Anolis sagrei: one gene and its partners. The protein of the gene in region 2 interacts with the protein of the main gene of each other region in a pairwise test. Links are inferred from orthologs where the notes say so. Each region holds a gene or a part of one and is shown on either strand. Other genes may lie near its edges.

What was found.
Region 1: the proteins of BANP (region 2) and SH3RF2 interact in binary tests that used the Homo sapiens proteins (3 or more experiments, as listed by UniProt). The two-hybrid records come from large-scale screens. The link is inferred for Anolis sagrei from reciprocal best matches to the Homo sapiens genes BANP and SH3RF2.
Region 3: the proteins of BANP (region 2) and TNXB interact in binary tests that used the Homo sapiens proteins (3 or more experiments, as listed by UniProt). The two-hybrid records come from large-scale screens. The link is inferred for Anolis sagrei from reciprocal best matches to the Homo sapiens genes BANP and TNXB.
Region 4: the proteins of BANP (region 2) and FHL2 interact in binary tests that used the Homo sapiens proteins (3 or more experiments, as listed by UniProt). The two-hybrid records come from large-scale screens. The link is inferred for Anolis sagrei from reciprocal best matches to the Homo sapiens genes BANP and FHL2.

What each region holds. Positions count from the first base shown.
Region 1 is NC_090022.1:97,525,381-97,532,837, forward strand, and holds the start of SH3RF2 (E3 ubiquitin-protein ligase SH3RF2), read left to right. Parts: upstream 1-4,445; 5' UTR 4,446-4,668; intron 4,669-5,052; exon of another isoform or gene 5,053-5,159; intron 5,160-5,752; 5' UTR 5,753-5,903; coding exon 5,904-6,284; intron 6,285-7,457. UniProt on the Homo sapiens protein: Has E3 ubiquitin-protein ligase activity. Acts as an anti-apoptotic regulator of the JNK pathway by ubiquitinating and promoting the degradation of SH3RF1, a scaffold protein that is required for pro-apoptotic JNK activation.
Region 2 is NC_090028.1:25,809,852-25,817,050, forward strand, and holds the start of BANP (protein BANP), read left to right. Parts: upstream 1-4,191; 5' UTR 4,192-4,310; intron 4,311-7,199. UniProt on the Homo sapiens protein: Controls V(D)J recombination during T-cell development by repressing T-cell receptor (TCR) beta enhancer function. Binds to scaffold/matrix attachment region beta (S/MARbeta), an ATC-rich DNA sequence located upstream of the TCR beta enhancer.
Region 3 is NC_090022.1:15,434,146-15,441,235, reverse strand, and holds the start of TNXB (tenascin-X), read right to left. Parts: upstream 3,027-7,090; 5' UTR 2,817-3,026; intron 1-2,816. UniProt on the Homo sapiens protein: Appears to mediate interactions between cells and the extracellular matrix. Substrate-adhesion molecule that appears to inhibit cell migration. Accelerates collagen fibril formation. May play a role in supporting the growth of epithelial tumors.
Region 4 is NC_090023.1:105,899,805-105,906,809, forward strand, and holds the start of FHL2 (four and a half LIM domains protein 2), read right to left. Parts: upstream 3,024-7,005; 5' UTR 2,919-3,023; intron 2,911-2,918; exon of another isoform or gene 2,737-2,910; intron 1-2,736. UniProt on the Homo sapiens protein: May function as a molecular transmitter linking various signaling pathways to transcriptional regulation. Negatively regulates the transcriptional repressor E4F1 and may function in cell growth.

The DNA of each region.
Region 1 (7,457 bases), on a different chromosome or scaffold from region 2:
TACTGGGCCACAGCAATGCGTGGCAGGGGACAGCTAGTAATAAATATAGCCCCCCCCCCTCCAATGGGGGTTCTCACAATGCTCAATTATAGTATTATGGTTCCACTTTAACTGACTTGTCTGCATCCTGGTGTTTGTAGTTTGGCACTAGAGCAGTTCTCTGTCTGAATACTGAAAATATTCCTCCCTAATCTGTCAATCCTAGAATTGCACAGGATTTTACCATGGCAGTTGAAATGGGATAATAGTGATACAATTGTATAGCCCCTTGAGTTCAATGTGTATCTAGTGGTGATGGTGGGAGGGGTGCTAAGTGGAGGAGTTGCTTCTGGCCTTCTTCTTTATTTCTATGTTAGGGGCTTTAAGTCATATTCTTACTAGATTTTAAAGAATGATTATAAATAAAAAATAAGAAGGCAAAATGAGGATGTAGATGTGTAGTATACAAACAAGGGACAGCATTAAAATGATAGACCCACAGGATAATAGAGTTGGAAGGACCTACCAGCTATTAGGACTTATGGAGTTGAAGTCCAAAACACCTGGAGAGCTGAAGTTTCCCCATGCCAGCTCTAGCCCACCCTCCTGCCATACAGCAATACACCACCAAAGCACTCTTGAAAGATACCCATCAACTTCTGTTTAAAGAAATCCAAAGAAGGAGGGTCTGTTGACCTATGATGAAATCATTTCCTTTGTTGAACAGCTCACAAAAAAGGGTCTTCCAAATGTTTCAATACGACTTAGATGAAGGGTTAGAAGGCAGGATCATCAAGCTTGCAGACGACACCAAATTGGGAGGGATAGCCAATACTCCAGAGGACAGGAGCAGGATTCAAAACAATCTTGACAGATTAGAGAGATGGGCCAAAACTAACAAAATGAAGTTCAACAGTGACAAATGCAAGATACTCCACTTAGATACTCCACTAAATAGGAAGTGAAAGAAATCTACCCCAGGAAGAGAAATTCACTCCTGAAAGTATTCTCATGGAGAAAAGGTGTCTCAGCTGAAGGTTTCTCTCCTATCCTTGTTTCCACAACAAGCCAAATGTTTCAAAATCTGATTATTGCAGAGACAGAAAGTTTCGTGAAATTTGGGCACAGGCAACAAAACAAACACCACATATATGTCTGGAGTTACACTGAAAAATGTATCTGCTCTGACATACATACAAATTCAAATTAGTAACAAACCTACAGAACCTATGTTGTTTGTAACTTGGGAACTGCCTGTATGCCATTTGGTCAGGCCTCTTGATGCTGCATAACAGTTTACAAGGAAGTAATTGTAAAACAAATGAATGACAAATTAATAAACGTACAGCCATAAAACCCTGTAATGTATGTTGACAGTTTGTCAGAATTTCCAGTGATGAGTGAATATATAAAAAAGGTGGACTGAGATAAAATACATTTATAATTGCAGAAATGCCAAACACTGTAAGCCTCTTGTGGTTCTTCTCAGCTGAAGGTAGCTGTCACTTCTGCAAATGAGGTAGAGAAAAGAATAGGACCATTTATTACAAGAATTACAAGTTCCTTTCCTTCTTACTTCATGTCATGCTGCATCCACCCTACTGGGAGCCTGCCTCCGCCCACAGGCTCCCAGTTACTTTGTATCCAACTTTTCCTTACCCAAGAGAAGCTCCTCAATGCAACGCCAACTGATTATATTACAATCATTATTGTGAGCACATGTGTGCATATATCATATATGTGTACATTTTGTGTGGACACAATGGGCTCTAGGGCTAAATGTATCCTTTCCAACCTTCAGCCCATCCAGACTTCTCAACTGTCCTTTTACTTGTCATTAAAAAGGGAATATTGCTTTTCCTAGAGGTTTCCAGGATTAGCAATTTACTTTTTAAATAGCTTATACTCCACCCTTCCCTGTTAAACTATTTAACTTTAATATGTATATTTATATCTAAACCAGAAGGAGCTCCAGCCACATTCAGATTTCTGAGTGAGGGCACTTTTATTGGTTCATGTGGCTCCAGAGGACCCTAGGGACAGAAGTTATAACATTATAACATTAATTAATTTAAAATGTTTATATTAGACCCTTCTCATCCCACAGCAGACTCAGGGTGGAGCACAATATACAGAAAAATTTAATGCTGGGACATAAACTATTAATATACATAAACATTAACATCAGTTATATCGACTTTAAAATCAACTGTTTAAAACCATCTCAGGACACGATTCTATTATTGCCTCATTGAACTGCCCAAAGGCTTGGTCACCATCCTTGTAAAGGACAGGAGGGAGGGGGCTTATCTAATATTGCCAGGAAGGGAGTTCCATAGCCGGGGGCAATCACTGAGAAGGCCCTGCCTCTCATCCCCACCAAAGGCACCTGTGACGGTGGCAGGACCGAAAGCAGGGACTCCCCAGAAGACTTTGTCTTTGTGGTAGTTCATAAAGGGGGATGTGTTTGGACAGGTAAACTGGGCCAGGGACGTTTAAGGCTTTATAGGCCAAAGCCAATACTTTGAATTGCGCCCAGTAGTAAACAGGCAGCCAGTGGAGCTGACATAACATGGGAGTTGTATGCTCCCTGTATACTGCCCCAGTTATTAACCTGGCTGCCTCCCATTGGACTATTTGAAGCTTCCGAATAATCTTCAAAGGCAACCCCACATAGAGTGCATTGTAGTAGTCTATCCTGGATGTAACGAGAGCATGGACCTCCGTGGCCACATCTGATTTCCCAAGGTACAGGCGCAGCTGGTGCACAAGTTTTAATTGTGCAAAAGCTCCCCTAGCCACCTCCGCAACCTGAGATTCCAGGCTCAGCAATGTGCCCTCCAGGAAGACTTCCAAGCTGTGAGCCTGTGTCTTCAAGGGGAGTGTTACCCCATCCAGCACATATACCCTGTTCAGCCTTGCAACTGACCAGGAGGACCTCTATCTTGTGTTCATTCAACTTCAATTTGTTCACCCTCATCCAGACCGTCACTGCAGCCAGGCACCGATTCACAACCTGGACAGCCTCCTTAGAAACCGGTGGAAAGGAGTATACCGCTGGCGTCGAATTCCAAAACTCCAAATGATCTCACCCAATGGCTTCATGTAGATGTTAAACAACATGGGAGACAATACTGAGCCCTGCGGAACCCCACAGGACAATGGCTGCGGGGCCGAGCAGGTTTCCCCCAAAAACACCTTCTGGATATGATCCTCCAGGTAGGACTGAAGCCACTGCAGAGGACTACCCCCAAGGCCCATCCTTGCAAGGTGACCCAGAAGGATACCATGGTCTATGATATTGAAGGCCGCTGAGAGGTCCAAGAGAAGCAACAGGGACACACTCCCCTGTCAAGCGCTCTGCAGAGATCATCCACTAAGGCGACCATGGCTGTCTCAATTCCATGACCCGGTCTGCGACGGATCCAGATAGTCAGTTTCGTCCAAGAACCCCTAGAGCTGCAAGGCAACCACACGTTCCAAGACTTTGCCCAAAAAGGGGAGGTTGGAGACTGGTCAAAAGTTGTTCAAAGCAGTGGAATCCAGTGAAGGTTTTTTCAACAGAGGTTTTATCACAGCTTCTTTTAAGTTCACTGGAATTTTGCCTTCCCAAAGGGAGGCATTAACCACCACCTTTACCCACTCTGCCAACCCCCACCCCCAGGCTTCCTTTATCAGCTAGGATAGACGGGTCCAGGATGCACGTGGTCACTCTCACCTCTCCAATAATCTTGTCAACATACACCTATACATATAGGCTGAGTGGACAGGGCAGGAGAAGTCCACTTCATCAAGATTTCAGTTGAAGGCAATGCTTTCCTAAAGTAGTTGTCCACAACAATAAAAACTGTCCCTTAGGGGAGCATTAAAAAAACTCCTATACCATCCTACTGGAATTCTAGATTATTAGAGAAGCCCACAAGTATCACCGAGGTATAATATGCTGGCTCTTTTACCAGTACTATGCTTGCCAATTTAGGCTCTTATTTTAGATTTCTCATGTTTTGTATTCTGCAGTGAAAATGTTGCAAAGAAACTTTTTAAACACTGTGACTTAATCCTATATAAACACAGCCATCCCACAAAAAGTCAATTACATCTCATGTTTTGCTCTGCCTTGGTACAGTACAGATCTGTATATATCTACTCAGAAGTAAGTCCCTTTGAATTTCAGTGGGGCTCACTCCCAGGGAAACCAGTACTGGACTACAATCTTAACCCCCCACAACTGCATTCCTTGTGTACTTCATGTTTTTCTTTGCCTTTGTGTGCAGACTCTCCATGGTTTTGTTTTCTCACCCTTCTACACACCTCCTCCTTGGTTCCTAAAACAGATTGGCTTCATAAAAAAAAGGCTGAGCCAATTTATTGATCAAAGTTGCACTGGTACAAAGCCAGATTAGCTCAAGCATTTTTTTTCCTCCAGGAGAAAAATGCACCAACGGTTTCCTCTTTCTTAGTTAATAATTCTGTTTCCCTGTTCTCACTTGCCTGAAGTATATGTAGGAGTCACAGGCTGGCAAGCTATGAGTTAACAAGGCAGCATGTGTTAAGTTGAGCTAAGTGAGTAATGCACCTAGTTAAAGTTTTCAATGCGGCTGCAATTTGGAGAGTGAGAAAAGGGGAAAGCAACACCAGGAGCAGTTATTCCGTGAGCTGAACTCGTTTTGAAGGGGTCATGAACACAAGGTCAGTGGTACTGCCAAAAATTAGTAGACTTTCTTCCTTTCTTCCTTTTCTTCACAGTTTCCTCCTTCAAATGGAAGCCATACTCTGCGAAAAGCTTTAGCACTTATAGCTTATGACTCTTCCCAGTAGTGTGTAACTTGTTCAGTGGCCGGCTAATGATTTGAAGTGTTATATAACGCAAGATTTTTCAAGGTTTAGGATATAGAAGGACAGGAGCACCATTTGGCAGAACTGATCTGAGTATGTTTTCCTGATTTTGAATACACAGGCACCTTGGTGTAATATGGGATGGTGCAGGTTTTCCGCAGGCCATGACTTGAATTCAGGATTAAGTATCTGTTTCACTTTAGCTTGCAAACTGTCGGAAAGGTGCTAAACAGGTTGAGTTGCTTTTAGGCAGTGGGAGGGTTTTCCCCCCTTCTTTTGGACGATCAAAGCAAGCTACAATACTGCCAGTCCCTGAAATCAAGAAATGCTGTCTGAACTTCCAGGTACGCCAAAGCAATGTTTGCCATCAAAGTGACTTGCAAATGAGAAAATATAGAAAATTCAGCAATGCTTTTTAAGATAATGCGAAACATTGTGGGTGGTTCTCAGAGAGTATGTGTAAGCGATGCCTGATTTAGAAAAGGAGAATAAAAAGGGTAGAGTGTGTTAAGCCATGTGTGTCAGTGGAACACCTTCTTTCTTTATCTGGTGTGCACATTTTACTGTTTTCACTGGATGTTTATTTTGGGGGGTGCATTGTTTTAAGGTAGAATGATCCTTCATCAGTACACCCATGGAAGATTGTATTGCTCTGGGAGAATCACATCATGGAAAAAATTAATTTCTCTTGTTTTTAATCTTTAGTCAATGAAACATGGGTCTTTCCTGACACTCATTAGGCAACAATTCTGCTCACTGGCATTTATTTGCAAATTATTATTTTTCTGCTAAATTTGGTTGTGTGGGGTTGTCAGGGAATACATGGTGCAAATTGGATCATGAAACATTGCTACAAAATGTAGGTGGCATACATTTCATAACACTGAAGTTGTCAGGTTCTGCAATTTCCCCCTCTCTCTTCTTTTTCTTCACACAGGATGTTGATTTTCAGATTCAAAAATTACATGAATCCACAAGGTTCATGGTGAAATATTCCTGAGCAACTGTCCTTTACTCCAATAAACATTATGTGGATTTTTCCAGCTCTCCATTTAACATTAAAATAATAGTGTAACAACTGCCCTAATATGGGCGATTTAGCTTTATTTGACATGTTGGAGTGCCCGTTGTGCTTGGGGAAGCTGGATATTTCAGCCAAGGTGCTCCCCTGCCAACACACTTTCTGCAAGCCTTGCCTCCAGAGAATCCTGAAATTACACAAGGAGTTGAGATGCCCAGAATGCCGAGCCCCTGTCCTCTGCAGAATCGAAGAGCTTCCTGCCAACTTGTTTTTGATCCGCTTATTGGATGAAATCAGACTTGGATCAAATGTCATGAAGTATGGCTCACTTCAAAGATATGGGACTCTCTCCTCTCCCTCTTCCCTCAGGAGAGTCCGGGGAGAGCCAAGAGCTTTGCAACTCCACCAATATGGGCTGACTTCCAATCCCAGGATCCCTATAGAAGGGGTAAGAATCTTCCCTTTCTCTTATCATTATCTCAGTTAGTAGATTTGTAGGCCATTTTTCATTGTAAGGGTGTTGGATAGATTCAGTTTATGCCAAAGCTGGTTGCCTTCCTTCTAAGCTACCGAGTTATCTTAACTGGATCTCTGCAGCAACTTCGTTTTTAGGTGTAAATTTATTCTGACTGGAACAATTTCAAGCTAAGAGCCTGGTTCCCATGTTTTCAAGGGATTGCTCTCTCCAGCTGAGCCTGAAATTGTACAGAGGCTTTTCAAAGTGACGTTAGAGTCCCTTCTATTTCCAGTCTTAGATTAAACCAGGGAATGGAAAAAATGTTTAGATGTGGGAGAGAAAAACAACTTTCACACCTGTCGAGGATACAGAAAGGTTTGATTTTTCACAGAACCTTTTTGAAAATAATGATTTATTCTGTCCTGTTACAACATGAGCATGGGGGAGGGGGAGTCTTTGATCCTTTTAAAGGGATGTGGCAGGATCTGAGTATGGATAAAAAGTAGGTCAGCTGTGCCCTAGATTCTCTTGTTCCTAGTCATACCAACACTTTTCTCTGGGGTCTTACACAGAAAGCTCCTAGCAAGTTCCACCCCCTCCACACATATTTGACTTTGCACATATTTTGGGGGATCAAGTGTGTTGATTTGGCTCTTGGCATAGGTGGAGGATTCAGTCTATAAGAGCGAAAGCCTCCGGGGTTTTATACCTTTGACTCTGAATGCTTCTTAATATGGTTTTGCAAAAGCATGACTTTGCAGGAAGCTCTTTGAAACTAATTATGCCTTATATAAGTATACTCCTAGGGAAAGCAGATGCATTTTTAGAGTTCTGATTCAGGTTTCCTTCATCGGTGGCTATTTGTTGTGAGACATCCCTGTAAAGAAAAAAGGCATTTGAAGGAAATCTCAGTTGTGAAAAAGACACCAGTAAGGATAGGTTTAGGCAAGCTTGTTCCTACTTAATTCTGTGTGGTATCATCTTTGATTGTAATTTGTTGGAGCAGCACCCTAGATAAACAGCCACAGCAAGTTGTAATTGGGGAAAACAACCCAGTGTCTTCCACACACACCCCATACTTGTCAAACTTGAAATTATCTGTAACCTAGATCAATCGCATACTAAGTGCCTATCACTAGAGTTTCACCCATCTTCTCATATCTA
Region 2 (7,199 bases):
TGAAATTGCATTATATGGTCAACGTAAAGCCATACAGTGAAGGTTCTTGTGGGTTTTTTCGGGCTATAGGGCCATGTTTTAGTGGCATTTCTCCTGACGTTTCGCCTGCATCTATGGCAAGCATCCTCAGAGGTTGTGAGGATGCTTGCCATAGATGCAGGCGAAACGTCAGGAGAAATGCCTCTAGAACATGGCCCTTAGCCCAAAAAAACCCACAAGAACCTAGTGATTCCAGCCATGAAAGGCTTCGACAATCCATACAGTGAAGTTTGGAATGCCATGATATGATCAACACAAATCCATACAATATAGTTTGAATTGCATTATATGTGCCTATACTGGTCATATACTGCCATTTAAAATTGCATTATATGACAGTGTGGATGGGACTCCGGTTCCGTCCTGCAGTTTGAATCCACTTGAACCACGAGGGCTCAATGCTATGGGATCCTGAGATTTGTAGTTTGGCAAGGTCTTCAGTCTTCCCTGCCAAAGAGGGCTGGCTGGTGCCTGACCTAACTACAACTCCCAGAATTCTAGATCACCGAGCCAGGGCAGTGCAGATGTTCTTCTTTAAAAGTGGTCTTATCTAAATACTAAGTATATTTAGTTTTTTGATTTATAAAGTACCATGAACTTTGATGGCTGCATATAAATGAACAAGGAAGAAAAACGATGTTTACTATGGTGCGTTTTATTTTGATTCAAGAAAAAATATCCCATCATAACACAGCATTGACAGAAGAAACAAACATGTTATTTATTTATTTTATTTATTTATCGTGTCAGTATCAACCAGACAATTGTATTACATTTTAAACAAATTTTTAACAAACAGACAAAACAGAGTTTGCAAGCTTGGTAGTTGATTAAATGTCCTTTGACCAGTATCTGGCCGCTTGGAGTGCCTCTGGTGTTGCCGCAAGGAGGTCCTCCATTGTGCATGTGGCAGGGCTCAGGTTGCATTGCAGCAGGTAGTCAGTGGTTTGCTCTTCTCCACACTCGCATGTCGTGGATTCCACTTTGTGGCCCCATTTCTTGAGGTTGGCTTTGCATCTCGTGGTGCCAGAGCGCAGTCTGTTCAGCGCCTTCCAAGTCGCCCAGTTTTCTGTCTGCCCAGGAGGGAGTCTCTCATTTGGTATCAGCCAAATGAGAGCCCTCACAATTGAGGTTCTGGGTTTGAGCCTGCCACTTTTGGACTCTTGCTTGCTGGGGTGTTCCAGCGAGTGTCTATGTAGATCTTAGAAAACTATTTTTCTAAGGGGGACATGAAAGAAGCCTCCTTGCAGGATTGCAAGACATCTGGGCATCCCCTGGGCAAAATCTTCGTAGACAACTGATTCTGTCACTCCAGAAGCAACCAGAAGCGACTTGCAGCATGCAAACAAACATGTGCGTGTGTGTGTGTCTATATATATATATATATATAATATAATATAATATAATATAAAACATATTATTTATATATATTATAATATATATTATATGATATGATACATTTTTAAATAAAATAATTTAAATATAGTATAATATATTATTTTATATATATACCTATGGGCCCTCGGTGGTGCAGTGGGTTAAAGCACTGAGCTGCTGAGCTTGTTGACCGAAAGGTCGCAGGTTTGATTCCGGGGAGCGGCGTGAGCTTCCACTGTCAGCCCTTGCTTCTGCCAACCTAGCACTTTCAAAACATGCAAATGTGAGTAGATCAATAGGTACTGCTCCGGCGGGAAGGTAATGGTGCTCCGTGCAATCATGCTGGCCACATGACCTTGGAGGTGTCTATGGACAACAGATCTTCGGTTTAGTAATGGAGATGAGCACCACACCCCAGAATCAGACATGACTGGACTTAATGTTAGGGGACAACCTTTACCTTTATATATACCTTTATAACATAACATATATTATACTTTATATATTGTATATATAATATAGATTACAATATACATTATATTATAATATATGATAAATTTTAAAATAACTTAATTTATATATAGTATAATATATTATTGAATATAATACCTATATAACATAATATATATTATATTTTATATAAATAATCTATATATAATATAGATTATAACATGTTGTTGTTGTTGTTCATTCGTTCAGTCGTCTCCGACTCTTCGTGACCTCATGGACCAGCCCACGCCAGAGCTCCCTGTCGGCCGTCACCACCCCCAGCTCCCTCAAGGTCAGTCCGGTCACTTCAAGGATGCCATCCATCCATCTTGCCCTTGGTCGGCCCCTCTTCCTTTTGCCTTCCACTTTCCCCAGCATAATTGTCTTCTCTAGGCTTTCCTGTCTCCTCATGATGTGGCCAAAGTATTTCAATTTTGTCTCTAGTATCTTTCCCTCCAGTGAGCAGTCAGGCTTTATTTCCTGGAGGATGGACTGGTTGGATCTTCTCGCAGTCCAAGGCACTCTCAGAACTTTCCTCCAACACCACAGCTCAAAAGCATCGATCTTCCTTCGCTCAGCCTTCCCTAAGGTCCAGCTCTCACATCCGTAGGTTACTACAGGGAAGACCATGGCTTTGACTAGGCGGATCTTTGTTGCCAGTCTGATGTCTCTACTCTTTACTATTTTGTCGAGACTGGACATTGCTCTCCTCCCAAGAAGTAAGCGTCTTCTGATTTCCTGGCCACAGTCTGCATCTGCAGTAATCTTTGCACCTAGAAATACAAAGTCTGTCACGGCCTCCACGGTTTCTCCCTCTATTTCCCAGTTGTCAATCATTCTTGTTGCCATAATCTTGGTTTTTTTGACGTTTAGCTGCAATCCGGCTTTTGCGCTTTTTTCTTTCACCTTGATTAGAAGGCTCCTCAGCTCCTCCTCGCTTTCGGCCATCAGAGTGGTGTCATCTGCATATCTGAGGTTGTTAATGTTTCTTCCAGCAATTTTCACCCCAGCTTTGGATTCCTCAAGCTCCGCACATTCTCGCATGATGTGTTCTGCATACAAGTTAAAAAGGTTGGGTGAGAGTATGCAGCCTTGCCGTACGCCTTTCCCAATCTTGAACCAGTCTGTTGTTCCGTGGTCAGTTCTGACTGTTGCTACTTGGTCCTTGTACGGATTCCTCAGGAGAGAGACAAGGTGGCTTGGTATGCCTATCCCACTAAGAACTTGCCACAATTTATTATGATCCACACAGTCAAAGGCTTTAGAGTAGTCAATGAAGCAGAAGTAGATGTTTTTCTGAAACTCCTTGCCTTTCTCCATTCTCCAGCGGATATTGGCAATCTGGTCTCTCGTTCCTCTGCCTTTTCTAAACCCAGCTTGAACATCTGGCATTATGTATATATATGTTATAATATTATATATATACACACACACTCTCTCTATATATTATATGTATGTATAATATGTATATATATATAGATTATAACATACATTATGTGTATATATATAATATATATATATATACACACACTCTATATATATTATAATATGTATTTATAATATTATATATATAAATTATAACATACATTATGTATATATGTATGTAAATATATACACACCCTCTCTCTATATATTATATGTATGTATGTGTGTATATATATAGATTATAACATACATTACGTATATATATATGTATGTATAATATATACACACACTCTCTCTATATATTATAATATGTATTTATAATATTATATATATATAGATTATAACATACATTATGTATATATATATTATAATATGTATGTATAATACACACTCTCTCTATATATATATTATAATTTGTATGTATAATATATACACACTCTCTCTATATATTATAATATGTATGTATAATATATATATATAGATTATAACATACATTGTGTATATATATTATAATATGTATGTATAATATTATATTTACATATATATATGTGTGTGTGTGTGTATGTGTGTGTGTGTACTGTATTTGCTGTATCTGGAGGAACACTTGCAGTTGCAATGTCAAGATGCAAGCCTGAGCCACTCTTTGGGTTTAAGGACTTCAATTCCCAGCGCGCACTGCGCCCTCCCTCTCTCGCCCTACAACCCCCAGAAGGCGCGAAGAAGCAACCCTTCGCGCAAAGCTCTCTGGGAGCCGTAGTCCGGCGGCCGGCATACCACTGGGACTGCGAGTGGTGGGAGGCTTCCACTGCGCCTGCGCCAGGAGAAGCCCAGCGGAGGGAGGCAGAGCGAGCGCGCGCGCCCTTTGCCTGTGCGCCTGCGCAGTCGCTTTCTCCTTGGAGGATCTCTCGCGAGGAAGGACGCCATTATCGCACAGAGCCACCCGATTTCCCAAACACCACGAGAATTCGGCCAGGCAAACGGTAACCTCGCTTCTTCCTGCGGCGGGCGGCTGAGGATGGAGCTGCCGGGTCGGGGCCTCCTCCTCTGGCGGGGTTTCTCCTCACGGCGCCGGAACCGCCGCAAAGGCCCGGTTTTCTCCCTCAGAAAGACTAGGCCGAAAAGAGAGGGGGGGGGGAGCGGGTGGGCGGGGCTTATGAGGGGGCGTGGCTTGGCTCCAATGGCCCCGCCCCCTTAGGGCTGGGGTTGGGGTGATGGACTTCTACAAAGTGGAATGAAAGCCTCGAGCCTTTCCCATTCAAGTTGTAGTTCAAACTGGGTTAACTTTTCGGTGTAGATTCTTTCTGGCGGACGACATTAGTCAAAGCATTGTATAAAATTACCTTCTATTTATTATTTACTTATTTATTTATTTACAACATTTATATGCCATCCTTCACACCCCAAAGGGGACTCAGAGCGGCTTACAAGATATATTATTTATTTAAAACTTTTATATCCCAATCTTTCCTACATCAGACCGGCTATATATATGCATACAATATATTACAGTGGTTCTCAACCTGGGGGTCGGGACCCCTGGCGGGGGGGGGGGTCGCAAGGGGGTTTCAGAGGGGTCGCCAAAGACCATCAGCATTTTCTGTTGGTCATGGGGGTTCTGTGTGGGAAGTTTCACCCAATTCTATCATTGGTGTGGTTCATAATTCTCTGATTGTAGGTGAACTATGAATCCCAGCAACTACAACTCGCAAATGTCAACGTCTATTTTCCCCAAACTCCACCAGTGTTCATATTTGGGCATATTCGGTATTCATGTTTTGTCCAGATCAATCCATGTTTGAGCTTCAAACTACAAGAGAGGAGATTCCATCTGAACATGAGGAAGAACTTCCTGACTGTGAGAGCCGTTCAGCAGTGGAACTCTCTGCCCCGGAGTGTGGTGGAGGCTCCTTCTTTGGAAGCTTTTAAACAGAGGCTGGATGGCCATCTGTCAGGGGTAATTTGAATGCAATATTCCTGCTTCTTGGCGGGGGGTTGGACTGGATGGCCCATGAGATCTCTTCCAACTCTTTGATTCTATGATTCTATGAGTCCACAGAGGACTCTGGATGTAGGTGAACTACACCTCCAAAACTCAAGGTCAATGCCCACGAAACCCTTCCAGTATTTTCTCTTGGTCATGGGAGTTATATGTGCCAAGTTTGTTTCAATTCCATTGTTGGTGGAGTTCATAAAGCTCTTTGATTGTAGGTGAACTATAAATCCTAGCAACTACAACTCCCAAATGACAAAATCAATCCCCCCAACCCCACCAGTATTCAAATTTGCTCCAGTGAATGAAAATACATCCTGCATATCATATATTTACATAATAGCAGTAGCAAAGTTGCAGATATGAAGTAGCAATAACAATTTTATGCTTGGGGGTCACCACAACATGAGAAACTGTATTAAGGGGTCATGACATTAAGAAGGTTGAAAACCACTGATATATTATATTGTTAGCATAGTACAATATCAGTATTATATATTACTATATTGTACTATACCATTATATTGTAATATTATTAGTAATATTACATGTAATATAAAATATATAATTATATTATATTATTAGTAGTATTATATTGTATTGCATTATAATATTGTAAATATTATATGTATATACAATATAGTATATTATATTACTAGCATAACACAGGAGACAAGATGGAACTGTCCCCTGGCCTTCCCTCTCTTCACTCTGGCCCAGAGCGGCAGTTGGTGGTAATATATCTCAATATATTTTGGACTTCAGCTCCCAGAAGCGCCTACCAACATCACCAATAGTTAACATTTCTTGCAATTGAAGTCCAAAAACATCTGGAGGATAAAGGTCGAGAATATTTCAGACTTCCTGTCCAAACTTTGTTCAAATCACATGTCTGGGTCTTAATGTTAAATGACAACCCATGCAAAACGAGATCTTGTCTTATTTGTGAGTTAAAAGTTGTGATCCAAAGAAAAATCATGAGAATCCTGGATAGAGAAGAAGATAATTCAGGTTAAGGAGGATTGGACTCCTTGTCTTTAAGGTTGTGATTTGTGTGAGAATCCTGCACAAAGAGCAGTTGGGAACAGCTTAGCAGATGGGTCAAAGTGCTTCAGTTTGGGATGAAATCCAATTCTATCACTATAATAATAATAATAATAATAATAATAACAAGCACACACACATATATATAATGCTATAATATATATTTATATAATATGAAACACTATAACGTGTGTCGCAGTGGGTTAAAGCACTGAGCTGCTGAACTTGTTGATCGAAAGGTCGCAGGTTCGATTCTGGGGAGCGGCGTGAGCTTCCGCTGTCAGCCCTAGCTTCTGCCAACCTAGCAGTTCGAAAACATGCAAATGTGAGTAGATCAATAGGTACCGCTCCGGCAGGAAGGTAACAGTGCTTCATGCAGTCATGCCGGCCACATGACCTTGGAGGTGTCTACGGACAGCGCTGGCTCTTCGGTTTAGAAATGGAGATGAGCACCACACATGATTGGACTTAATGTCAGGGGACTACCTTTACCTTTACCTATATTATATATATATATAATATAAAACACTATAACATATATATGTTATAAAACAATTCCTGTGTTACATAGTGATATATGTTTTATATCTTATAAAACAATTCCTATGTTACATAGTGTTTTTTACACACACATAATATCTTATAAAGCAATTCCAGTTACATAGTGATTTATATATATTATATAAAAGCTATTATATATATATAAAATGTATATAAATACTTTCTCCCTCCATCTTCCCTTCCCTTCCACGCTTTCGTTCTTCCTTCCTTCCCTCTTCCCTCTCTTTCTCCTTCCTTCCTTCTTTCCTTCCTTCCTTCCTTCTGTCCCTTTTGT
Region 3 (7,090 bases), on a different chromosome or scaffold from region 2:
GCCACAAAGTGGAGTCCACGACATGCAAGTGTGGAGGAGAGCAAACCACAGACCACTTATTACAATGCAGCCTGAGCCCTGCCACATGCACAAGGGAGGACCTTCTCACAACGACATCAGAGGCACTCCAAGTGGCCAGATTCTGGTCAATAGAAATGTAGTATCATGCCAAGTTTTTAAACTGGTTTTTCTCTACATTATAACTGTATTTTCATTTCACTTCTGACACAATAAATAAAATAAATACTAACTGCAGAATCCACCACTTGGAAGGATGATAACAGATATATTGTTGAAGGCTTTCGTGGCTGGAATCACTGGAGTGTTGTGTATTTTCCGGGCTGTACGGGTATGTTCCAGAAGCATTCTCTCCTGACGTTTTGCCTGCATCTATGGCAGGCATCCTCAGAGGTTGTGAGAATGCCCGCTATAGATGCTGGGTTTTTGTTTTTGGGGTTTTTTTGTCGTGTCAGGAGCGACTTGAGAAACTGCAAGTTGCTTCTGGTGTGAGAGAATTGGCAGTCTGCCAGGATGTTGCCCAGGGGATGCCTGGATGATTTGATGTTTTTATCATCCTTGTGGGAATCATAGAATCAAAGAATCAAAGAGTTGGAAGAGACCTCATGGGCCATCCAGTCCAACCCCCTGCCAAGAAGCAGGAATATTGCATTCAAATCACCCCTGACAGATGGCCATCCAGCCTCTGCTTAAAAGCCTCCAAAGAAGGAGCCTCCACCACACTCCGGGGCAGAGAGTTCCACTGCTGAACGGCTCTCACAGTCAGGAAGTTCTTCCTCATGTTCAGATGGAATCTCCTCTCTTGTAGTTTGAAGCCATTGTTCCGCGTCCTAGTCTCCAAGGAAGCAGAAAACAAGCTTGCTCCCTCCTCCCTGTGGCTTCCTCTCACATATTTATACATGGCTATCATATCCCCTCTCAGCCTTCTCTTCTTCAGGCTAAACATGCCCAGCTCGTTAAGCCGCTCCTCATAGGGCTTGTTCTCCAGACCTTTTATCATTTTAGTCGCTCTCCTCTGGACACATTCCAGCTTGTCAATATCTCTCTTGAATTGTGGTGCCCAGAACTGGACACAATATTCCAGATGTGGTCTAACCAAAACAGAATAGAGGGGTAGCATTACTTCCCTAGATCTAGACACTATGCTTCTCTCATGTCCCCGCATGAGGAGCTGGAGCTGATAGAGGGAGCTCATCCACCTCTCCCCGGATTCAAACCTGCGACCTGTCGGTCTTCAGTCCTGTCGGCCCACGGGTTTAACCCACTGCGCCACCGGGGGCTCCATAGATGCCAGTGAAACATCAGGAGAGAATATTTCTGGAACATGGCTGTACAGCCAGGAAAATACACAACACCCCAGTGATAAGAGATAACTGGAGATGATGAAGCAACAGAAAAACTCACCCAGATTATAAATTCACCAGACTTCCTGGACTATTAAATTCTTTCAGGGGAGGTAAATGCTACAAGCATTGAAAAAGACTAATCTAGAATTTACCTTTGTTTCCATCTTTTCTCCATCTGCCTATCCATTCTATCCTCTCACTCTACCCATCCATTCATACAGAGCTTGAGTCAGGCGAATGCTCAGATAGGAACAACTTTCTGCCTCTCCAACATAGAGCTTGAGTGCATCTACACTGCATCCACACTGCAGAATGAATGCAGTGCATCTACATTACAGAATGAATGCAGTTGTACACTACTTGCTACAGGATTGTGAGATATGTAGCTTGGTAGGACACCAGCTTTCTTTGATAGAGAAGGGTAAAGAGCTTGTAAAACTGCAGCACCCATGATTCCATATCATAGAACAAAGGCAGTTCAAGTGGTGTCAAAACTGCATTCATTCTATAGTGTATATGCACCTTCAATTTCCCCAAATTCACCCCATTAGTAAGGACATGCTGGTGGGGGAGGATTCTGGAACTTGCATTCTGAAAAGTCCCTTGTTCAACTGGAGCTGCGGTGGCACAATGGGTTAAACCCTTGTGCCGGCTGGACTGCTGACCCAAATAATAAATAATAATGAATCTTTATTTATATCCCACTTTTCTCCCTCACGGAACGCAAAGCAGCTTACAACATATTAAAATCACATAAACAACAATCAGAATGCATCAATAATAAATATAAGCACCATAAGATAAACAAATTTAAGAAAACAACTACAATGTACATTCACATCCATGAAGCATCATATCGAGAGATATATTGCACTTCGCTCCAGTCCATAAGGTTGGGTTGCTGACCTGAAGGTTGCCGTTTCAAATCCGCAAGACGGTGTGAGCTCCCGTCTGTCAGCTCTAGCTTGTGGGGACATGAGAGAAGCCTCCCAACAGGATGGTAACACATCCAGGCATCCCCTGGGCAACGTCTCTGTAGACAGCCAATTCTCTCACACCAGAAGCGACTTGCGGTATGTTCTCAAGTCACTTCTAACACAATTAAAAAAAATACTTGTCCAACTTTTGGTGACACATCAGACACATTGCTTGTCTCCACTTTAATCACCATGGCTTGATGTGATGGAATGATGAGATTTGTAGTTTTGTGAGGCACCAGCACTGTTTGCCAGAGGATGTTAAAAAACTACAGCTCCCTGGATTCCATTCCATTGCACCTTGGTACTCAAAAGTGGTGTCAAACTGCATTCATTCTACAGTGAAGATGCACCCTGACAGCGTTCTCCCCTTTTAATAAAAGGAAGATTGTAAAATCTTCCTTTTACAAATGTAGCAAACACTAGTATTTCATATGAAGCATTTCATGCCTTTTGCCTATAGATTCCAACTCACCGTGCTATCTTTAGCCAGACCAGCTCTCTACAGAAAGTTCTCTTCTTACTTGGAAAAGTTGGGTGCTGATGGAGAGAAGAGCTGCCCTCCTCCGCCGCCTCTCTGTTTCGTTCCCTCTCTTTCTCTGTGCGTCTTTTTCTCTCTCCTGCCCTGGAGAGGAGGCGAGAGAACAGTGCTGGCCGTTGGATTTTCTGGCTCAGCACACTGCCGGGGTGTGAGCAAGCATATGTGCATCACTCGCTCACACTCACAGACACACACATACACACACACACAGACACTCCTTTGCTCCCTGTTCAATTTGGAAGCAGAGGCCTTCAGACACGCAAGAAACCCCATGAGATCATAATGGGAATCACTGATAAACATCTTGGCACACACCGCAAAGGCGATGCATGCACAACTTTTGTGTTCCAACACACTTGTTCCTGTAATTTCCATCACACTTCCCCCCTTTCTGTTTACCGTATTGCTTTCTCTTTATCGCTGCCTCTGTCTTGTTTTTCCTTCCTTCCTTAGGAGGAAAAACAATCTTCGTTAATATATTTGATTGCTATCCTAAGAACCCTATTTTGTTTACTTTCCCCTCTTTTGTCCCACACTATAGGAGCATCTACACTATAGAATGAATCACAAAATCATAGAATCCTACATTTGGAAGAGACCTCATGGGCCATCCAGTCCCAACCCCATTCTGCCAAGAAGTAGGAAAATCGCCTTCAAAGCACCCCCAACAGATGGTCATCCAGCTTCTGTTTAAAAGGCTCCACCTCGAGAAGGCGGATCTGGCCAAGGTGGTCCAAGCCTTAGTCACCTCTAGACTGGATTACTGCAATGCACTCTACATGGGGCTGCCCTTGAAAATGGCCCAGAAATTTCAGATGATCCAACGGGCGGCAGCCAGGTTGTTAACCGGGGCTCTTTATAGAGGGAGGTCATCCCTCCTGTTTAAGGAGCTCCATTGGCTGCCTTTCATCTACCGGACCCAATTCAAGGTGCAGGTTCTTACCTACAAAGCCCTGAACGGTTTGGGACCCGCCTACCTGCTTGACCATATCTCTGTATACGAACCCACACAATCTCTTCGATCATCCAGGGAGGCCCTGGTCTCGATCCCACCAGCATCGCAGGCGTGATTGGTGGGGACGAGAGAGAGGGCCTTTTCGATGGTGGCCCCTCGACTCTGGAACTCACTCCCTAAAGACATCAGACAGGCTCCAACTTTGGCAGTCTTCAGGAGGAACTTCAAGACGTGGCTGTTCCAGTGTGCCTTCCCAGAATAATGATCCCATAGCACTTTGTCCTCCAAAGCACTTTACATTTTCTAAGTCTGCTCGTATGCCCTTTCACAAACACCAGTATCACCTTCTGTTCATGTCCCAGCATATTTCCAATTTTAACTTTACATTTGGCCTCCCCTCTGTTTTTAATTGTGTGTATTTTATAGATAATGTTGTTTATCTTATTCTCTATGTTTTTAAATTGCTTTATTGTTGTTTTATTGCTTGTATTGTTGTGTTTGGGCTCGGTCTCATGTAAGCCGCACCTAGTCCCTTGGGGAGATGGTAGCGAGGTACAAATAAAGTTAATAATAATAATAATAATAATAATAATAAAGAAGGAGAGTTCCACTGCTGAACAGCAATCACAGTTAGAAAGTTCTTCCTCATGTTCAGGTGGAATCTCCTTTCCTGTCGTTTGAAGCCACTGTTCCATTGTGTTCTAGTCTCCAGGGCAGCAGAAAACAAGCTTGCTCCCTCCTCCCTATGACTTCTGCTGACATATTTATACATGGCTATCGTGTCTTCTCTCTTCTCTTCCGCAGGCTAAACATGTCCAGCTCTTTAAGCCGCTCCTCAGTTTGTCACTACTTTAGCTGCCATGGTTCAGTGCTATGGAATCATTGGAGATGGTATTTGTTGAGGTATCACCACCTTGGGTGATAACCGCATTGAGTCGCCGAATTAGGCTGAAAAATGCGGTATAGAAATAAAGCAAATAAATAAATTGGGGCAAAAATGGTGAAAGACCTTTTTAAAACTACAGGTGCCAGGATCCCAAAGCATTGAGCCATGGCAGTTAAATTGGTGCCAAACTTCACGTGTAAATGTGTTTACATGCAAACATATTCCCTCCTGAACGGAGTTCCAATTTTCTTGGGTGTGTGTGTGTGTATGACTTCATGTTCATGCCAAACCCATCAAATCCACTGGCATTTTTAGGCAAGAAACACCCAGAGGTTGTTTGTTTATTTATTTTATTTATTTACTGTATTTATATTCCGCCTGTCCTGGAGGTATTTGGGGGCACTCATTCTGAATATTGCATTAGATGGTCCACATTAGCTCTAGTTTCTTAGATGTGGCAATCCTTGATTTTCTATGGGTAAGCACTGGTGACTGGTAGATGGCATATGTTCCAAATCTCAAAAACTAGAACTGAGAGGTGAAATTTGGTGCAATTTTTGGAATGGTCAAATATACCCAAAAAGATATCTAATATCTGAGGCATAAAAATAGGGCTGGGCTTTAGCACAGCAGATTAACCACCAACTGAAAGGTTGACACTTCGAAGACTGGGTCAGGGTGAGCTCCTGGCCTTTAGCCCACTTTCTGCCTACCTAGCACTTTCAAAAACAGCAATGTGACTAGATCAGGGGTCCTCAAACTTATTGAACAGAGGGCCAGGTGACAGTCCCTCAAACTGTTGGAGGGCCGGATTATAATTTGAAAAAAAACATGAATGAATTCCTATGCACACTGCACATATATTATCTGTAGTGCAAAAAACACTTTAAAACAATACAATAATTAAAATTAAGAACAATTTTAACAAATATAAACTTAGTATTTCAATGGGAAGTGTGGGCCTGCTTTTGCTTGATGAGATAGGATTGTTGTAGTTGTTGTGTGCTTTCAAGTCGTTTCAGACTTAGGTTGATCCTGAGCGAGGGCCAGGTAAATGACCTTGGAGGATCGTATTCGGCCCCCGGGCCTTAGTTTGAGGACCCCTGGAGTAGATAAATAGATACCGCTTAAGCAGGGAGGTATTTAAGGCACCCATAACGAAATGCCAGAAAAAGGCTGGCAAGTCAACCAGGAAGGAAGTTTACGAACAAAGCTCTTTGGCAAGGAAAGTGGAGCAACAGCACCCCCGGTGGCAAGAACTGAGCAAGCCTTCAAGATGTCGAAGATGGGAAAGCCTATATAGTTACCTCCATCTATATACAGTTGTCTGACTTGTCTGTATAATAGCTATTGAATGTTTGCCATATATGTGTTCTGTAATTGGCTCTGGGTCCCCTTCAGGGTAAGAAGGGCGGAATATAAATACTGTAAATAACAATAAAATAGGTTGTTGTAGGTTTATGGCCATGTTCTAGAGGCATTCTCTCCTGACGTTTCACCTGCATCTATGGCAAGCATCCTCAGAGAGGTAGTGAGGTCTGTTGGAACTAGGAAAATTGGTTTATATATCTGTGGAATGACCAGGGTGGGACAAAGAACTCTCGTCTGTTGGAGCTAGGTATAAATGTTTCAACTGACCACCTTGATTAGCATTTGATGGCCTGGCTGTTGTTTGGTGTGGCTTGTTGGTGCCTGGGGCAATCTTTTGTTTCCTCTCTGTTGTTTTGCTGTTGTAATTTTAGAGTTTTTTAAATACTGGTAGCCAGATTTTGTTCATTTCCATGGTTTCCTCCTTTTTGTTGAAATTGTCCACATGCTTGTGGATTTCAATGGTTTCTCCGTGTAGTCTGACATGGTGGTTGTTAGAGTGGTCCAGCAATCCCCAGGCACCAACAAGCCACACCAAACAACTGCCAGGCCATCAAATGCTAATCAAGGTGGTCAGTTGAAACATTCACACCTAGCTCCAACAGACAAGAGTTCTTTGTCCCACCTGGTCACTCCACAGATATATTAACCCATTTTCCTAGTTCCGACAGACCTCACTACCTCTGAGGATGCTTGTCCTAGATGCAGGCGAAACGTCAGGAGAGAATGCCTCTCGAACATGGCCATATAGCCTGAAAAAAACCTTACAACAACCCAGTGATTCCGGCCATGAAAGCCTTCGACAAAAATAAAATATAAATATAAATATACATGTTGGTCAGTGTTATAAATAGGGCCTTATCTGTGGTGACACTGCCCTGTGGAACAGAGTATGAAAATTCAATCATAACCTTTCCCATTCTGACCACACTCTGAAATTGCTTCATCTGATTTTCATTTGTCAAATGCCAAAGGATGTGATTCCTATCATTCTCCTGA
Region 4 (7,005 bases), on a different chromosome or scaffold from region 2:
AAAAATGCACCTGCCCGGTCCCTGCCATTCTGGGTGTGATAACAGAAGAGGCAGCCTATAAATAAATTCCAGTTATCATATTTGTATTATAAAGGGGAAACCACACTCTTCATTCATACTCAATTTCTAAAACTTATGAACCATGAAACTGGCTCAGCCAGGTTTCACTTAGCTAATCATCACTGTCAGGCAAAGCAGTACTCCTGGACTATGGAGGAGATTGATAGTACAGCAGGTCAATATAGAGGCAGACTTTTAAAAAGAAACATTCCGCTAATAATTATTTGCCCTGTACAAAATCAGAAGTTCTAATAAGGATGTAAGAAAAAAGCAGAAGGTCTGCAAAGGGTATAAGAAACTCCAAGCAATTTTGTGGACCTCCTAGCATCATGGGTATAAAAATTTAGTTTTGGGAGTCGAAATGCCTTCAAATGCCCTCTACAAGAGTGGGCGTTTTCACTAGGTTTTTTTTTGTTCCTAGAGTGTGTTTTGACAGATGGGGCAAGAAATATGATTTCTGCAAGGGGTTCAGGGAGGAAAATGTGGCTCCAAAGTTTCCTGGGAGCTAATATTTCCACATAGCCTTCTACAGTTGCCAACTCCCAGATTAAGATATAACAACAACAACTGCTTTGCAACTAGAATATTGGTTCTCTCTCTCTCTCTCTCTCTCTCTGTGTGTGTGTGTGTGTGAAAGAGAGAGAGGGAGAGAGAGAATAGGGCTGTCATTCCTGTCCAGATAGTTTTCCATCCGCATGTCCAATTAATGTAATGGCATTTGGGTCATGGATCAGACAAAGATCAAAAGAAAGTGACATTCATCAGGGACACATAATAATAATAATAATAATAATAATAATAATAATAATAATAATAATTTATATTCCACTCTATCTTCCCGGAGGGACTCAGGGTGGATTCCAAGCATAAAAGGCAAACATTCAATGCCCGAATACAACAATACATCCACACTAACAAAATTTAACCAACCCAGCATATAAACACAAATTATGACTTAACAACTAAAATTAAATGAAAAGCACAGCCTGTTATAGCAGACATAAGACAAAACATCAAACATTGAATGGAAACAATAATTTCCGAGTTCCTTGGGGCAAATCTGTTAACATCAATTGTCCCAAAGATTTACTTCTAAACTATTTAACTTATTGTATATACTCATTTATAACCGTAACCCAAAACCTTCCCTCGATTTATACATGAAATAGACTTACATATGAGTACATATGATACTTCTATTTTGAACCACTATACTGGACATAGGTTTGGAAATGGTTAGGTTGCATGTTGGCTCCTCAAACTAAAATAACATATTTTCCCATTCACTGATCTTCAGCCTTTGGGGTGTAATAGAAACTAAACAGTAAACGAAAACAATTGCCCATATTAATTTACACAATATACAAAAATTCATATACAATCCCTCTAACTCCCTTGTGTATGCATGCTTTGCAAACAAAACACAGCACTCCCTTGAGATCACTTTAAAAGGCAATTTGGTGCGATGAACGCTTTATAATGGGTGTTTGGCAGCTGTAATTGCTACTTCGCATGATGGTTATGTAGTCTCACACAGATTACTGAGCCCACTGTCTCCCTTTAGCATAGTCTTCACTACTTCAAAATATATAGCCAGGATCATCTAAGGCCTCAGAAAAACAACAAGAAAAGAATACAAAAGGCTATATAGAGTTTTGCTACCTTTTAATGACCCCGTTTCCAAATACACAGCTGCCAAAGGAACATATAAATATCTGAAATCATTTCCCCAAAACAATATAATTCCATCTCCACATATCGCAAAAGACTTCTCCTTTGTAATTGTTTACTTTGAGAGAAGAAGAAAAAAACCCATGACAAATGTGATAAACTCCACAAGTTGTCAAGCACACACAGGAGGATTGCTGAAATTCCACAAAGTTAAAGATTCCCACATACTTTTCTAGAAAAATATAGAGTTTATTTAAACAGGGAACATTTCTTACTTGCAGGTGTTCCACTTTAGTATGCAAAATTGTAGCCTCAAAGACGATAAGATAATTCTCAGTTTTTAAAACAAGCAATTGGGAGGGGTGTCTTTTGAAAATTAAAAATATTTTTTCCAGATCTACATACAGAAGTCAGATCATACAGTTATATTAAGGAACCCCCAAATGACAGGCAGTCTCTCTCTCTTTGTGATAAATGAAAAAGACAATGCATTTCAAGACAAATCATGTTAAATAATTGGAATAGCAAATCTACCTGCTGTCCCATTGAACTTTTTGTGTGGTAGACTGGAATAAGATTGTACTATTGTAGTGTAGTGGTTTGAGCATTAAATCATTGAACTGGAAGAGACCCAAAGGCCATACAGTCCAACCTCATGCCTTGCAGGAAAACACAATCAGATCACCCTTGATGGCCATCTAGTCTCTACTTAAAGACCACCAAAGAAGGAGACTCTAGAAACCACTTTGGTTCTTTGCTCAGCCTTGGAAACCCACTGGGCAGCCTTGGCTGAGTCACACAGTCCAAGAAAAGCTCCTGATAGATTTGCCTTAGGCTTTCCATAAGTCACAAATGTCTTCAAGGCACACAATAGCAATGTCACCCTATATTCTCTTCCCTTATCCAGTGAAAAGATAGTAAGACACTGAACTCTCTTGACATTTTAACAACATATAAGCATGTAAAGATAACCTCTGATGAAAGGGAACACCGGCTCTTGATTACCTGGTGTGAGGTGTGGGTTCTCTTTAAACTCTGTGGTGTATGCTGATGTTCCTTGCAAATAACAGAAGAAAGGAAATCCTCAACATTCCTTTAGGACTCTTCAGGTTCTCCCCAAAACAGCACTGCAGGGTGACAAAAGGAATGGCTCCTGAACATGAAAGCACTATCCTTTTTGCGCTTACCTTGCTGGATGGCGTCTGTGTGTTCCAGTCAGGGAGTGAGGCGAGACAAAGGCCGGCACGGAGGCTTACTGCTTTATTGGATTACCCAAACTATGTATTTAGCAATTAGACTGTCAAGAGTTCCCTTGCCAGATGAGCTATAAATACAGTTATCTCCAAAGAAGCAGCCATCCTGAGCGATAAGAACCAGAGCATCTCCGCAGGAGACGGCCTTTTAAGGAATCATTTGTTAATGGGGCCATGCATTTGTGATGGGAGCAAGAACAACTTTGCTCCCTTTATTCGTGAGGCCATTCCGTATCTTCCACAGGGCTAAGCATGTTTCTCTCTAGAACATTTTTACAACCAGTGAGTCCTATACAAAGCTTAGACTGATTTTTTTCAGGACTGCAACTCCAGAATGCCCAGTAGCCATGCTAACTGGGGTATTCTGCATACTACTACCCACAGAAATAATTATTATAAATGTTGACCACCAATTGGTTTCTGTTTTTCCTGCCTTCCACCATCCTGCATTCAGAAAATGATCTACACTTCAATTCCAACAATGATATACACTCCTGATTTGACTGCGACAGTTTTGATTAATTCTCTGTCAGCCCACTTTCGCAGTTGCTTTGAAAATGTTCCAGTTTCTGACTTCTCCTCCCACTTTTCCCTTTTGTCCTTCTTCAAATGATGCAAACTAAGGGGCCTTCTACACATGCAGTAAAACCTGGAAGTAACTGGGATAAAAGGGAGTGGGATGTCTAAAAGATGTTTGTAGAAAGTGCAGAGAGAATCGGATTAACAGCTGAAAAGCACGTGTTTAAAAAGTGAGCTTAAAACCCGATTCTGCCCAAAAAATGCAAATCTATGTGTAACAGTATATCTCTGCAATCATGGAAAACACATGACTTCCTTCCCATCCCCTGTGTGGACTGCTCCAGCACATGTGTTTTAAAAGCCCAAAACTGTCAAAAATTGAGTCATGGACACATGGGTAGCTAACAGGAAGCACAATCAGAAAGCAATTAGAACTCTCTGCAACCATGCCTTTCTTTCTTATAATATTAAACAAAGCTTGAATTAACAGTTGGGTGAAAAGAGAGATTAGAAATCTGCTTGTGTGTAGTAGATCTCTGCATGTGTGCATATGAGATCCAGCACATTTCTGAGAGAATTTCTTTTTTCAAAAACTTCTACTGGATGTTCCTCTTCCCTCCCCCATCTTGATTTGCTTCAAAGGAAGGCATAAGGATGGTGAGGGACCATATCCTGGGACTGACAGGTCTGTGTGTGAACTTGCTCTCAGATCCAGGATTTTTTCCCCAGTTTTTAAACTTGCATTTTGAAGCTATCTGGAAGTGCCTTAAATTCAAAATGCAAAATTTGCTTGCAGTTAAGAGGCCAGAGTCCTGCCCTTCCCACTAGACTCAGGCAAAGTCAAATTGCTGTTGCTTCTCCCAGCTTGCCTGTTATTCACCATTATATTAATGGGAGTTGCTCTATTGTAGCTTTGCTCAGATGGCATTTCTTCGAGTCATGATAAGTCTTCCTGTGAATAATAGTGTGCTTATGAGTAAGGCAAAAAAACTGTGTTTAGTAAACCACATATACAAAGGGAAGATACCGAGGAGAAAGGAGTGTTTGGGTACCTTCCAGGTGATGGTCTGAGCTCTATCAGTCAAAAGGCATATTCCTGGTATATTGATAAATGCCAAATAAAGGAATGCTTGAATAGGGTCTTCATAGGAATGTTTAAAGAGGTCAAGGCCTCCATACGCACTCAGTACTGCTATTTAATCTTTTATTCCTTATTGGCTTTGTGTATGTGTGTATATCAAGGGGAAAAAATTGAAGAAGCACAAGAGGATTAGAAATGAAAGATCACCCAAGCAACTGTGGCTTTGGGTTGGAAAGACCATAGAAAGTAGAAAGTTAAAAAATGGTGTGAATATTTAGCAGATTATATGCTTCAGGATTACATCTATGAAAGAAGAACCAAATATACAATAAGCAGATTTAAGAAGACCTGGGTTCAGAAATGGGAAAAAGTGATAGAAAAAGTCAAATGAAACAAAAGATATAAAGAGCTGGACCATTCTCTTTTCACGATTGTTCAATTAAATTAATATCTGCATAATGATAAGTACTGTTCCCTGAGGGTGGGGGAGGGGGGAGGAGGTGAGGGGTCTAAAATTGTTAGACAAAAGGGGAGGTAAAGATGAGATTGATAAGATGAAATCTGACATTGTCTTCTCTCACCACTACATCTCTGTGCTCAAGATAAAGAATGTAGCCTGGTCAGTGAAGGAACATGATGGGAACAATCCTCTTCTTGAAGCTGCTACCTAAGAGCCCTTCCACATACCCTATATCCCAGAACATGCACTCAGATAAGCCAGTTCAACTATGGACTCAGATAAGCCAGTTCAAAGCAGATGTTGTGGAATTTTCTGCCTTGATATTCTAGGATATAGGGCTGTGTGGAAGGGTTGGGTCCTATAACTTGTCCCAACCTTTTCTTCACAATGATAGGTTCCAGAGTTTGGAAAATGTATTTTTGCAGGTTCTGGAAGTCTGGGAATTGAAGAAAGGTGGCATATCTGAAGTCTTGGGATGTGTTTTGTTGTATGGTACACCCACTCAGAGAGCTATCACTCTGCATTGTTATAGAGCTATAATTCCCTTCAACAACCATTACAACATTATATGAAATCCTAGAATTTGCTAAATCCCAAGATTTTGCATTTAGGAAAGGGCATTTAGAATTCTCAGACAGAGACTTCTTGAACCTCACAAAACTACAAAGCTCAGAATGGGAAAGAAAGTTGTCATGGTAGTTAAAGCAGACAATATAACAATATAGTGTGAGATCTCCGTTTATTTTTAAGAGAGTTGTGCACTAACCCATGCTTGCCTTAGTAAGTAGTGGCTCATTCTGCTGTGGACAGAGAACCTCTTTTATGCTCCTGTTGGAAACTGTTTGGAGGCTCTCTGGGTTCTGTGGCCCAGAATGTGAGTTCCAGCCATAACTGAGCTACTGAGCACTTGGCAAAATCACCTCTTTTAAGAGGGAATTGTACAAACTCATTCCACATATACTTACACAATTTTAATGGTAAGCCAACATATTGGTTTCTTTTTTAATTGTCTCTACATGTATCTGGAAGTTCCATCTGTCTCCATGTGTGATGTTACCTGATGTGCTTGAGATAATGTCCTTAGTTTGCTAAAGACAATCCGATCAGATTGGGAGCATGCTGACTGTCAGAGGGAGCCCTGATCTCCTTAACCTTTAAGACAAAAGCTCTATTCGGATGTGCTATTATTTGGCCTTAATTAGCATGCATAGAGCAAGAATGAGTAAGACTTTGGTTGCTTTTCTCATCATCCTCCAAATGTCAGAAGTGTTCAATTTTTTTTGAGCGACAATTCCCAAATACGCCAGCCAGCATATTCAGTGGTTCAGCTTGTAATAAGCTTACTTTTTCCAATAATAAAATATGACAAAGCTTCCCTATGAGGTTGCTCAAACAGATAACAAACTCTGAGTTCCTATCAACTTTGGACTTCCATCTTATGGACTTACATATTTGTAGAGAAGAGTGGAGGTCTGTCCCTATAGCGATTGCAATAAAGCCTTTCAATTGCAAATCACTCCATGAAACTTTTACTCCTTCCCATCCCATTGTTTTCTTGAAGTGTTCTTGACCCCTTGTAGCTTGCCTTCACATTCATCACACTGGGGAAGGCTTGTCAAATTCTCTCTGTTTCCCCCCTCTTCTCTATCAGCCGAAAAATCTCTCTTTTTCTCTTTCTCTTTTTTCTCTGCTGCTTCTGCCACCACCTCCCCAGCCAAACATTGCTCTCCATTGCTCTCTGTCTGCAATAGCTGTCTCTCATTTTGCAGCAATGAAACACGACAGGGGAGTATAGTTTCTATTCCATGTGTTTTAGCCTTAAAAAGTGGATCAAATCACAACAGCAGCTCAAAAGACTTTTACTCAGCCATGGTGGGAGCTCCTTTCTTCAGGCTCATTTCAATGATGGATGGAACACATGGCAGCTGAAAGTAGTTCAACATCATGTGATGGGCTCCATG